Arabidopsis thaliana: one gene and its partner. The protein of the gene in region 2 purifies or fractionates together with the protein of the main gene of each other region. This does not show direct contact. Each region holds a gene or a part of one and is shown on either strand. Other genes may lie near its edges. The genes, in order: TUB9 and CRK3.

Evidence for each region.
Region 1: the proteins of CRK3 (region 2) and TUB9 purify together in Arabidopsis thaliana (affinity purification with mass spectrometry, with the first as the bait; one study listed by BioGRID). This does not show direct contact.

What each region holds. Positions count from the first base shown.
Region 1 is NC_003075.7:11,180,305-11,185,130, forward strand, and holds TUB9 (tubulin beta-9 chain), read left to right. Parts: upstream 1-1,787; 5' UTR 1,788-1,913; coding exon 1,914-2,307; intron 2,308-2,490; coding exon 2,491-2,760; intron 2,761-2,865; coding exon 2,866-3,536; 3' UTR 3,537-3,798; downstream 3,799-4,826. Other genes in the region: AT4G20880 (ethylene-responsive nuclear protein / ethylene-regulated nuclear protein (ERT2)), read right to left, coding at 1-302; MS5 (Tetratricopeptide repeat (TPR)-like superfamily protein), read right to left, coding at 3,799-4,459, 4,495-4,611, 4,700-4,826. UniProt on the Arabidopsis thaliana protein: Tubulin is the major constituent of microtubules, a cylinder consisting of laterally associated linear protofilaments composed of alpha- and beta-tubulin heterodimers.
Region 2 is NC_003071.7:19,181,893-19,188,734, forward strand, and holds CRK3 (CDPK-related kinase 3), read right to left. Parts: upstream 4,921-6,842; 5' UTR 4,539-4,920; coding exon 3,996-4,538; exon of another isoform or gene 3,719-3,995; intron 3,206-3,718; coding exon 3,075-3,205; intron 2,888-3,074; coding exon 2,846-2,887; intron 2,743-2,845; coding exon 2,634-2,742; intron 2,545-2,633; coding exon 2,466-2,544; intron 2,379-2,465; coding exon 2,082-2,378; intron 1,998-2,081; coding exon 1,888-1,997; intron 1,799-1,887; coding exon 1,691-1,798; intron 1,601-1,690; coding exon 1,538-1,600; intron 1,464-1,537; coding exon 1,296-1,463; intron 1,214-1,295; coding exon 1,076-1,213; 3' UTR 761-1,075; downstream 1-760. UniProt on the Arabidopsis thaliana protein: May play a role in signal transduction pathways that involve calcium as a second messenger. Serine/threonine kinase that phosphorylates histone H3 an GLN1-1.

The DNA of each region.
Region 1 (4,826 bases), on a different chromosome or scaffold from region 2:
GGAGAATCCTCTGTAACCAAAGCTGGATCAAGCTTGGAAGGAAGAGACATACGACGCTGCAAAGACATATGAGGAGGAGGTGGAGACAAAACACGCGTTTCAGTCTGGGCTTTGTTGTTCTTGTTGTTACGTTTTGAAGATTGTTTTTTGAGACGATCGCGATTCTTAACAAAGAGATCGATTAAAGAAGTTGGGAAACCAGTTTCAACAACGAGAGATCCACCATGTTTAGGAGATTGTTGAAAGTCTGATACGAATCTAGAGATCCGACTAGATTTAGATTTCTTCCAAGGTAAAGGCATGTTGAAGGAAAGAAAGAAAAAAGGATTTAGACTTTTAAAATCTTTTTTTTGGTGATAAATCACCTCTCCGAAGAACCCAGAAAAAAGGGTTTGTCGAAGAGATAGAGAAGAAGATCTGGTTGGAAGATCAAAACCATTAATTAGACATTTTGGAGAGACAAATGCAATAAATGGAGAAGAAACCTCTTCCTGCCCTCTTTGCGCAGAAAGTGAAATGAGAGAGAGAGAGATATGATGAGGAAACCGCTAAAAAGACATTGCAGGACGACGCGTGCCTTAACCAATTATTTTACTTCCTTTTTTTTGTTACAAAAAATTTGTTATTTATTTCCATTTTTGTTAAATTTGTACAACTGTACTATGCAGTTTTTAAGATTTTACACTTTCTGCTGTACCAAAATATTACCTATGTCCATCTGACCGAAATTATTAAATTAATTCTAATAAAAAAATTCTAATAAAGCTGATCAATTTATTTATTTTAGACTTAAACTTTACAAAAACTAATTTATTCAGCTTAATTTCCCCAATATGTAAAAACATTAATGACTACAAGTATGGTATAACAGTAGCTTCAAAATCTTAATTCATTTATACCGAAGCAAAAGTGAATTTGGTAAACCGGTGAAAAAAACAAACCATTCCGAAACAGATTTAAGATTTTTGTTCAATTATATTTTGTAAGCAAACAAATTACATCGAACTAAACTAAACTAAACAACCGAAATATGCATCCATATTATTTGTGAACTAAACATGGTAAACCGGTAATAGCTATTTTAAGATCCTTACATTTTTAAAATTTGTCTAAAGATAATTTGAACAATTTCATCTATTGTTAAACCTATCAACGAATTGTGTCTATAGTTAGATGCTAAAAAACCTTCCTGATAGATTTTTTTTTGTTTGAACCGTTGATTCATATAATAAACTTAGAAGCAAGACATATAGTAATATTTTTTCACTTGAAAATTGATATTTATGCAACAGATTAACTATTCTAAAATCGTCATATTTATGAGTTGTTATTTGCCTGTAAGCCATTTACTTCTAATTTCTATTGTCAGCTTATCTAATTAATTTGGTGATTTGCTAAATAAGTAAAATTGCCTATTATTGGTGTGAAAAACAACAAAGGAAAATCCACTAATGACGCAAATTCGAATCTTTTGGTCTTTAATTTCAATATCCGAAGAAAAAAGGATCTAATCAATAATATAAAAAAGCGTAGAAAACAATTTGCCTTTATATAACTTTCACGAGTGATTTTGTAAATATTTTATAATTAATTAACAAAAATATCTAAGGAAAGATATTTGTTTTTGATTCGCTGTATAACAGCACATAAAGGAAACCAAATCGAAAAACTATCAGGGTAATATCAAAAACCAATAGAAGTCTAAGGACGAAAATGCAAATTATTTGAGAAACTAGAGAAAAAAGGAGGTAAACTATATATAGCCGATTACTACTCTCATTTGTTTTTATACCCCTCAATCATAAACAATAAACAGAGGGAGTCGCCAAATTTTCTCATCATTTTCTCGAGAAAATAGACTAAAAGCGATTCCCGAGAGAAAGAAAGAACAAAAAAAAAACATCCGAGTGAAAATGAGAGAAATTCTTCATATTCAAGGAGGTCAGTGCGGAAACCAGATCGGAGCTAAGTTCTGGGAAGTTATTTGCGGCGAGCACGGTATTGATCAAACCGGTCAGTCATGTGGCGATACAGATCTACAGCTTGAAAGGATCAATGTCTATTTTAACGAAGCTAGCGGAGGCAAATACGTTCCTCGTGCTGTTCTTATGGATCTGGAGCCTGGAACTATGGATTCTCTCAGATCTGGGCCGTTTGGTCAGATTTTCCGGCCTGATAACTTCGTTTTTGGTCAGTCTGGTGCTGGGAATAACTGGGCGAAAGGTCATTACACGGAGGGAGCTGAGTTGATTGATTCTGTGCTTGATGTTGTGAGGAAGGAAGCTGAGAACTGTGATTGTCTTCAAGGTGAGAGAGATACGCTTTCATTTTCTAGGTTTTCGTTTTCTGAATCTCGTTTGTGTTTTGATTTGTTAGCGTTTCCTGTTCCTGTATGCATTCGAATTCAGATCTGCTATTAGAAACTCCTTCATAGATGCTTTGTTTAGCGTTTGATTTCATTCTCTGATTGATGATTCATTTGTGGAGCAGGTTTTCAAGTTTGTCATTCTTTGGGAGGAGGAACTGGTTCTGGAATGGGAACACTTCTTATTTCTAAGATTAGAGAGGAATATCCAGATCGTATGATGATGACCTTTTCGGTCTTCCCATCTCCTAAGGTCTCTGATACAGTTGTTGAGCCATACAATGCTACTCTTTCCGTTCACCAGCTCGTTGAGAATGCTGATGAATGTATGGTTTTGGATAACGAAGCTCTTTACGATATCTGTTTCCGTACCTTGAAGCTTGCTAATCCTACATGTGAGATTTACAAACCATTTATTCTCTTGTTTTCTAATATTCATGTGATTGTAGTTTTGAAAATCCTGACATTGTTCTTCTTTCTTATGTGGTGGTGTATCTTAGTTGGTGACCTTAACCATCTCATCTCAGCTACAATGAGTGGTGTTACATGCTGTCTTCGGTTCCCTGGTCAACTAAACTCTGACCTTAGAAAACTTGCTGTGAACCTTATTCCTTTCCCACGACTCCACTTCTTCATGGTTGGTTTTGCACCTTTGACATCAAGAGGATCTCAACAATACAGTGCCTTGAGTGTCCCTGAGCTAACTCAACAGATGTGGGATGCCAAAAACATGATGTGTGCAGCTGATCCTCGTCATGGTCGTTACTTGACAGCTTCTGCTGTCTTCCGTGGAAAGATGAGTACCAAAGAGGTTGATGAACAGATGATGAACGTCCAGAACAAAAACTCCTCATACTTTGTTGAATGGATTCCAAATAACGTGAAATCAAGCGTCTGCGATATAGCTCCCACTGGTTTGAAAATGGCATCAACTTTCATTGGAAACTCAACTTCAATCCAGGAAATGTTCAGGCGTGTGAGTGAACAGTTCACTGCCATGTTCAGGAGAAAGGCTTTCCTTCATTGGTACACAGGAGAAGGAATGGACGAGATGGAGTTCACTGAAGCAGAGAGTAACATGAATGATCTTGTTGCAGAGTATCAGCAATATCAAGATGCTACAGTCGGTGAAGAGGAGTACGAGGAGGACGAAGAAGAAGAAGAAGCCTAAAGAAAAGATGATTGATTATTACTTTTGTAAGGCTGTAAGTTCGTCGCACTCATTTCCTTTTACCTCTTTTTCTGAATTGGGATTCTCTCTTTTTGTGCTTTGTGTGTTTTGTTATTGAATTTCTTTCCCAAACCTAAGATTTGTTCCAGAGTGTAATCACATTTGCCTATGCTTCTTTGTTTTGTCTATGAAAATATTTCAATGTCAAAAGCCTATACAATTTCTATGATCCAAAAAACTTGATAACCGGTACAAATAGATCCTACATCTCTGCGGTTTTAAGCTCTCCCTGCAATCTTTCTTCTTCTTCTTCTTCTGCTTCTTCCTCTTCTGCGATATCTGCCCAGCTTTTCTTTGATTCACTCTTCGGACCATCTGCTGTATCTTTGACGAATTCATGGAGATATTGAATCATGTTCTGGTCCAGTTTCTTTCGCTTCATGGGTTCTTCTTCTCCTCTCTCTAAGATCTTCATCTGTTCAGAGCCAAAAGGTTGTGGTTTTCCAAATAGTAGCTTTCGAGCAGCACCTCTCGTCTCTTCTTCAAACAATCTGCATCTGCGTGGTTGTGTATATAGACCTGCAGAGTTCGGTCTCACAGATGCTGGAGACGAAGAAACATCTGAGTAGTTCTTGTTTGCGGTTCCAGGAGCTATATTTTCCTTCATCCTATTCACAAATGAACATCCCGCGTAGAACTTCTCCGAAAGATCAGCTTCTGGCTTTTTCGATTCTATTTCTGCTAACATTTCGACGGCTCGGTCATAAGACTTTGCGAATGGTTCATCTCCGCATTCACTCTCTGCAGGAGAATCTCTTACATCATCAAGCAGAGATTTAGCTTCAGGAATTCGACTCATACGCATCAAGCAGATTGCAAGGTTACAGAGTTTGTTTTTGTCTCGCTCCAAACCCAAAGCTCTCCTGTTCATAATCAGTTGAATATAAGCAAAACTCACATGACCAGACAGTAATCAATATTTGGGATTTTGGTAACAAAACCAAACCTGTAATGCTGCTCTGCAATTCCATAGTTATGTAACTGTAAATGAACCCAGCCCAAGTTCCCTAGTATCCTAAAATGTTCAAACAACAATGGAAACGTCAATTCAAGAGACAAAACACTCATCAAGCTAACATGAGAATACACCGAAACTTTCTCACCTTGCTTTCTCTTGCTCGATAGTCATAATAACATGTTTTCCTTGAACCCTTTTTGCTCTACTGACTCTACCACCAAATCCCATTCCTTGTTCGAGTGTTTGCAGTTTGTGCTCAAGTAAAACAGCTT
Region 2 (6,842 bases):
TTACATTGTAACGGCTGGTCCTCTAAAGCATTAAATCTTTCATTTGACTATTACTAGTGATATTTTAATCAATAGAGAATACATACACATCGAAGTAAATAGCAATGCATCTTCCAATGTTAGCAGGTTACTCATGCATTCTTCAGAGTCTTTTACTCTATGCGTTAATTCCAAAGATCCTATTTCACCAATCACAATATCACACAGTAAAAAGGATGAAACCAAGAAGATCCTATCTTCTTACTGATATCTTTGTAGTTTGTATACATTCTACAAAAAAATATGGGCAGTACTACAATCTAATCTCATTTATATTAAATATAACTATCTAAATTAAAACATATATACTTGTGAAACAATTAGTTTAAGAAAGCGAAAAGTATCATGATTTGGGCTGTATATATATACTATCACACCTGTAGAGTGCCTGTTTTCCGTAGACTAATGGGTACGATCGAACCCACTCATCTCACTATCATGATTTGTAATAAATGGTTATGATTCGATTGTCGGCACCATTTGAGAAAAGGAAAGGCTTAGCTTTTTTTTGGGTTATCACTAATTGTTGTTTTATCACTTTTCATTTCATTTTTTAATTTGTTGATTAGGACAGCGTTACTTTATTGTCTTTTGCTTTTAAGTTTTAACCCTTCATAATAGCCTTATGTAGAATTAGTAGTTGGCCTGAAAATCGTTTGATTAGATGCTAGACCTCTTTAATGGTATGAATGATATTCTTAAGGATTTGTTGTAATGGAGATGATGATGATGAAGTGATTTGCTTAGAGGAAACAATGTAAAAGTTAAAAGCAATTGACATACAATATGACTACTTGAACCATAGATGTTCATATATTATACTTGCAAAAAAATGACTGTAACCCATCTACCTTATGCACATGTTTATATCTTTTTTTCATTTTGGTCTTTTCTGTACCATAAAATTGAAACTCTATAATACGATAAAGAACAAAACAAACGGACGAAAATACCCCTCACCTCTCTCAGAAGTCTATTTGCTCTGTTCTGATGAAGAAAAAAAATATTAAGAAAAAGACCTAAAATTAGAGAAGGACTAGCGAGGTCTTGCGTGAGCAGCACGAAGAGTAACTCCGTGCAAGAACTTAGTGAACCCTAAGTAACTCAGCTTCCCGTCACTGCTTCTTACCCAATCTCTCAAGTGTCCATACGCAGACGCACCCACATTCAGTTCCTGTTCAATAACCAGAGTCAAATTCAGTTCCGAAGCCAAACACCGGTCCTATGAATCGAGAGGATTACATTTAACACCATACCCTTGCTAGTTCTTCGATTGTGATCACTCGGTTTCCCTCGGTTTCAAAATGCTGGAAACCTGCCGTTGCTATCTCTTCCCACGCGTCAACAGCTTCTAGTTGATGGATGCTAATTGCTGCTGCACAGAACTCTTCGAAATACATCTTCCTATACGCTAGAGATTCCATCTGCCAAAACAGATGATCATTAGAAACCAAAAGATTGATTCATTTTTCTCTCAAATTTGTTCTCAGGTTCTCACAGTGTGAAGTATTTCAGGAACTCTTGATTCTCTCATTGCGTCTGTTGCGTTTTGCATAAGCGCCTGCGAGGATGGAGCTTATTAAACCTTTTTAGTTTAAAAAAGCCGATGTGACTATTGACCAAAGGCCTTCCTTCAGATTAAGTAACTTACCGTCTTGAAGTTTTCGAGAGAGACGCTACCATCTTTGTTTGGTCCCAACAGCATGAACTGTGCTCTAAGATAGACTAGCTCGTTCTCGGTCAATGCTTTTGCTAGCGCCTAGATTCAATTATTAAACATATGCTTCAATCTTCTAAATCAACTCTTACCAACTTTGTGCCAAAAGAAGAAGAAGAAGAAAGTCATACCTTTAAAGCAGCTCGTCTAAGAGGTGTCGCGTGCAAGTAGGCTTTGACCAACTTATAGATCAAAATGTCTAAAGGAATCACACGACTATCATCCCGTAACCACGGATGAGCTGAAAATAAACATATCATTAGTTCTGTAATGTTCAAAATAATATAACTCAATGATGTGTCAAAAAAAGAAAAAAAAAACTCACTCAAAGCTTGAACTGCAGACATTCGCTTCCTATAGTCTTTGTTGAGAAGTCGTTTCACAAAATCTTTACCTTCTGATGAACAAGAAGGCCAAGGTACGTCATCATAGTTTGGTTCAGTTCTTAGTACAGTGCGAAAGATTCCAGATTCTGTCCGTGCCCAAAAAGGTCGGCTTCCACATAAGAGTATATATGTAATAACTCCAATACTCCATATATCAGCCTCAAGGCTATATGACCTGTGTAAAACTTCAGGCGCGACATAGTAGGCACTTCCAACTATATCATTCAGTCTTTCATCTGCATTGAGGAATTCAATCAAATTTCACTAGTAGGCAGCTATAAGGAAAGTATAGTGACAAGGCCTGAAAGAATGAAAAGTCTTACCAGGTCTAATAAAGTCTGAGAGACCAAAATCAATAAGTTTCAAGTCTGAGTCTTCGCGGCTTGATGTAAATAGAAAATTCTGTTGAACAAGGTAACAGGAGTGTTTAGTAATGATGTGTAATGCTACTGGAGGTAGAGATAGGGAAAGTTTTCTTTGTAAAAACAGACCTCTGGCTTTAAGTCACGGTGCACAACTCCTTGGAGATGACAAAATGAAACAACAGTTAGAATTTGTACGACAATCGCCTTTGCATCATCCTCCGGGTATTTACCACCCCTGAGACAAGAGAATGCAGTGTTTGAGCATAGATATGAATAAATTCTCAGCATTTAACTTGAGGCATATGCAGAGAAACACCTAAAAGAGTAATCAGACATACCTTGCTAAAATTCTGTCCAAAAGTTCTCCACCATCACACAACCTGGTCAAGCAGAACCAAACATCGATTTAAGTAACTGGTTTACAAGGTGTGTCTGATTACAGAGATATGTTCAAAGAAATGCAGTTCAGAAGTGATGTTCTGTGTTACAACATTTAAGTAACAGCCAAAATCCTGAGGAAGAGAGAACATCAAATATCTGATAAAAAAAAATGGAAACAAGACATACTCCATGACTATGTATACGTTATTGGCGTCCTCACATGCATCATAATATTTGATTAAATATTTGTGTCCAGATAATGATTTCAGTAACTTCACCTCCCTGCGAACATCTTCAATTGCAATTGCTGTTGTCATCTGCCAAGTACAGAAAGATAATTCAGTCAACAAATCCTTTTTGCTTGTTCTATTAGAGAGAAGGATAGCACAACTGTCACCAAAATGTGTCAGACCAGCTTCATTACAAAGATAAGCCAAAATCATGAGCTTTCAAAAGTGAAGCCCATACATAAAACATTGTGTCCTAATGCAGACAAAAGGAATGTCAGATTATGGTCTCCCCAGGACGCAGCCAGACAAAGACTTCTCTAGTTACGTTTTTCATGAATCATCTTTTCAAAAAAGGATGAAACAGACAACAAATATCACATGTAACACCATAACATTCTTACAAAATCAACAGCTAAGTAATCAAAACGTAACCTAACTGTGATTACAAGCTTCGAACAAACAAATGTTTGCAGAAGAAAAGCTCATAAACATTAGTACATGAAACTCATTCTTTGATGACTATCCTTGTCCTAATGCTGACAAATCAACAAAAAGTTCACATTTTTGTCTACTCAACTCACTGCCAAACAAAAAATTTACCTATCAAAAGAGACAACATTGTTTGTCTCAAGAGACTCAGCTGGAAGAAAAAGACAATTCACTGTCCCACAGCCATTATCCAAACCCAAGAATCTTACTTTCACTACCTCAACTACGAGAAAATGTAAGCATTACTCGTTCCACATTTCAAAACCCTCCACAGATTCTTGTAGCAGCATCAGCAACAAACAAATCACAATATAAGCTAAAATTCAACACCAATGCAAGCAATCCCAAAATCAAAAACTAGATGTTCAAAAGATTGAGAATTTAAAACCTTAGCCTTGGAGATGATCTTGACAGCAATAGGATGATCCTTAATATCTCCCTTCTTACCACGGCCAGAACAAGTATGACCAAAATGCCCTCGACCCACTTCTTTCCCCAATTCGTACTTAGCACCAAAATTCTTGCCATAACCAAAGCTCTTATCAAGCGACTGCTCCGGCTCAGTTCCTCTCTCCTCAGGGATCGGACCTTCCTTAGGCTTCACTCCAAGACGTTTGATCAAAGAAGCCTTAATGTGTTTGGCTGGAGAAGGCGGCGGGAAAGGCCGTCGGAAAAACCTCCTCGGAGTGGAAGTTCTGGCCGGAGAAGGAGAAACACCAGAAGGAAGAGGGCTCGCTGATCCGTGAGGGAAAGGACTAGGCCAAGGACTCGGATTCGATGACCTAGCTGGAGTGTTCTTAGCTCGACCGTAATTAACCGGAGTTAGAGGCTGAATCTGATTCCCGTCGCCGGAAACAACATAAGTAGTCGTGTTAGCTTCTTCTTCACCATTTTGCTTACTCTGATTAACCTTCCCGTAACATTGCCCCATCTCCCCCACACAATCAAAAATCAAAAGAATTCAAAATTGAAGCAACATAGAGCAAGTAACGAATCAGATCAAAAGGAAGAGAGATCCAAAATTGGAAGAAGAAAACGATAAACGAAAGGAATGAGAGAAGAAGAAGAACAGAGACGACAAGGTAAGTGTTAAAAACTTAGAAGAGACAAAAGTGACAGAGAGAACAGAACGGAACGGAACGGGGACGGTGGTGTTTTTACGTAGTAGAAGGATTGAGAACCGTTGGATTAAAATCTGAGATGTTGAAATGTAAACTTGGAGATCTCAAACCATTTAACTCGTTCTAGTCACTATTCAACAACAACTACCTTCCCCTAATCAGGCATTTTTAGTCTTATACTATTTGATTAACAATTTTGTTTTGTGTTTTGTGAATATGAATATATTTTATTTTGTCCTATGTCTTTTTCTTTTCTTATTATATGATAGTTCGAGTTCTTTTGACTCTTTCTTTTTTCCTTTAATTGTTTTGTCTTTTGTTACTTTTTGGGCTCTTTTGCCGTTTCCTTATATAAATTTGTAAGACATTTTAAACAAAATCAAAATTCCGAAAACGGAGTTTATAAAGAAGATTGGATTCATCAATTCCACGTGGCTTAATATTATTGGATCTAACTAAAACAGAGTTTCTTCCATAACGATTTTTTCACAACATATGATGCGACCTGGTCGGATGGTTCGGAAATGGAGAATATACGGAGTACGTTATCCTACGTGACAATATCTGGGCCGTTAAAAAAATCGCTTTTAAATGTGATTTATTGAGAATTAAACACAAGGGCGTGATTACAGCTTTTTCTCGAATTTGGAAACAATACTTTTCTTTTGTACTTCTAAACATTTTTTTTTTAATTAGTTATCACTCTTTTTCAGGAAAAGTATATATTTTCGACACAAAAGTTATATTATAAAAAAAGTTGAAATTTTTGTCCAAAAAAGAAAGAAAGAAGAAGTTGGAATTAATATGTTTTATCTGTTAATTAATTAAATAAATCCATGTGTAAAGCAATCACACGGAGATACAATATTACAAAGTTATTGTTTTTTTTCTTTGTGATTAAATTTTCTTTACGTTGAAATCAATATGTTTTATACTAGAATCTTGTTAAAAATTGTAATAATTTTCTGTGATTGTGTTTTCACTTTTTTCTTTAGAGATCTCTCGTACTAAAATTAGGGTGACACTAAATCCAATTATGAAATTAAATTATAGTGGTAATTAATAGGTAAAGCGACGTCTATGAGGAGATTTAACACAAACATTACTATCAACTTATCAAATAGGTAAGAAGCAGTTTTTCTTTAAATTTATTTTGAAAGATAAACCTTGATGTAATAAATTAAACAAATTGAAAGTTTAGAAGTTACCGTTTGTTTGTATCAGCAGACATTAGGAAATATATGGTCATTTACACCAATAATTGTCCATAAAGCCGAACAAATGGGTAATAATATAATTTTAAAGTATGTCGAAAATAGAAGGAAAATAAATAAATGTAAATGGGGAATAGAATCCACCTTCAATATTCTATGGTATTTTACAAAATATTGAACCGACTTAAAGTAAGTCCAACAACATGCATTTGTTTAGTTTAATTGGATTTATTATACACCAAAATTATTGTGATTGGAGTACATTTTTTATACAAATTACAAAACTCAAGGCTAACATCGATTACCTCAGAAGTCGACAAATATTTCGTTAAAAAATAGAGAAAGTGAAAAAATCTTGTATTTTCTGTAAATTTTAGCGTATGTATTAATTTGTTATTACCGTCATCTGATATCATAGCGTATGTTTTAAGAACTCTTCGTTTGGATTTATGTCCAATGGTCAATGCTCATTCATATTAATATATTTCTTGTCAGCAGTTTGATAATATAATAAACATGTGTCTAAAAATATTTATCAAATTCACCATTCAAAAATGAGTTATAACTTATACGACACAATATTTCCTTTCAAGTTTATTTTCACAACTACTTCGTAAATTAAACAAATGGTAAACCACGAAAAAAATGGTAGATTTGTTGTCATCCTAATTGTTAGAATTTGTTTTAAGTTATGTTGGTAAATATTTTGCAGAAATTGATTAAATAATAATAATATCCCCTTATGAGCCCGAAACAATCGAGCCCAGCTTGTCGTTCACAATGTAGATCTTATCCTTAATTTTCAAAGGAAAACAGTTCAGCCCAGTATAGGCCCAATATCAACCCGCTTCTAGGCCTAATCCTAAACATGAACCAACTTTGAGAAATATAACCTTTTTT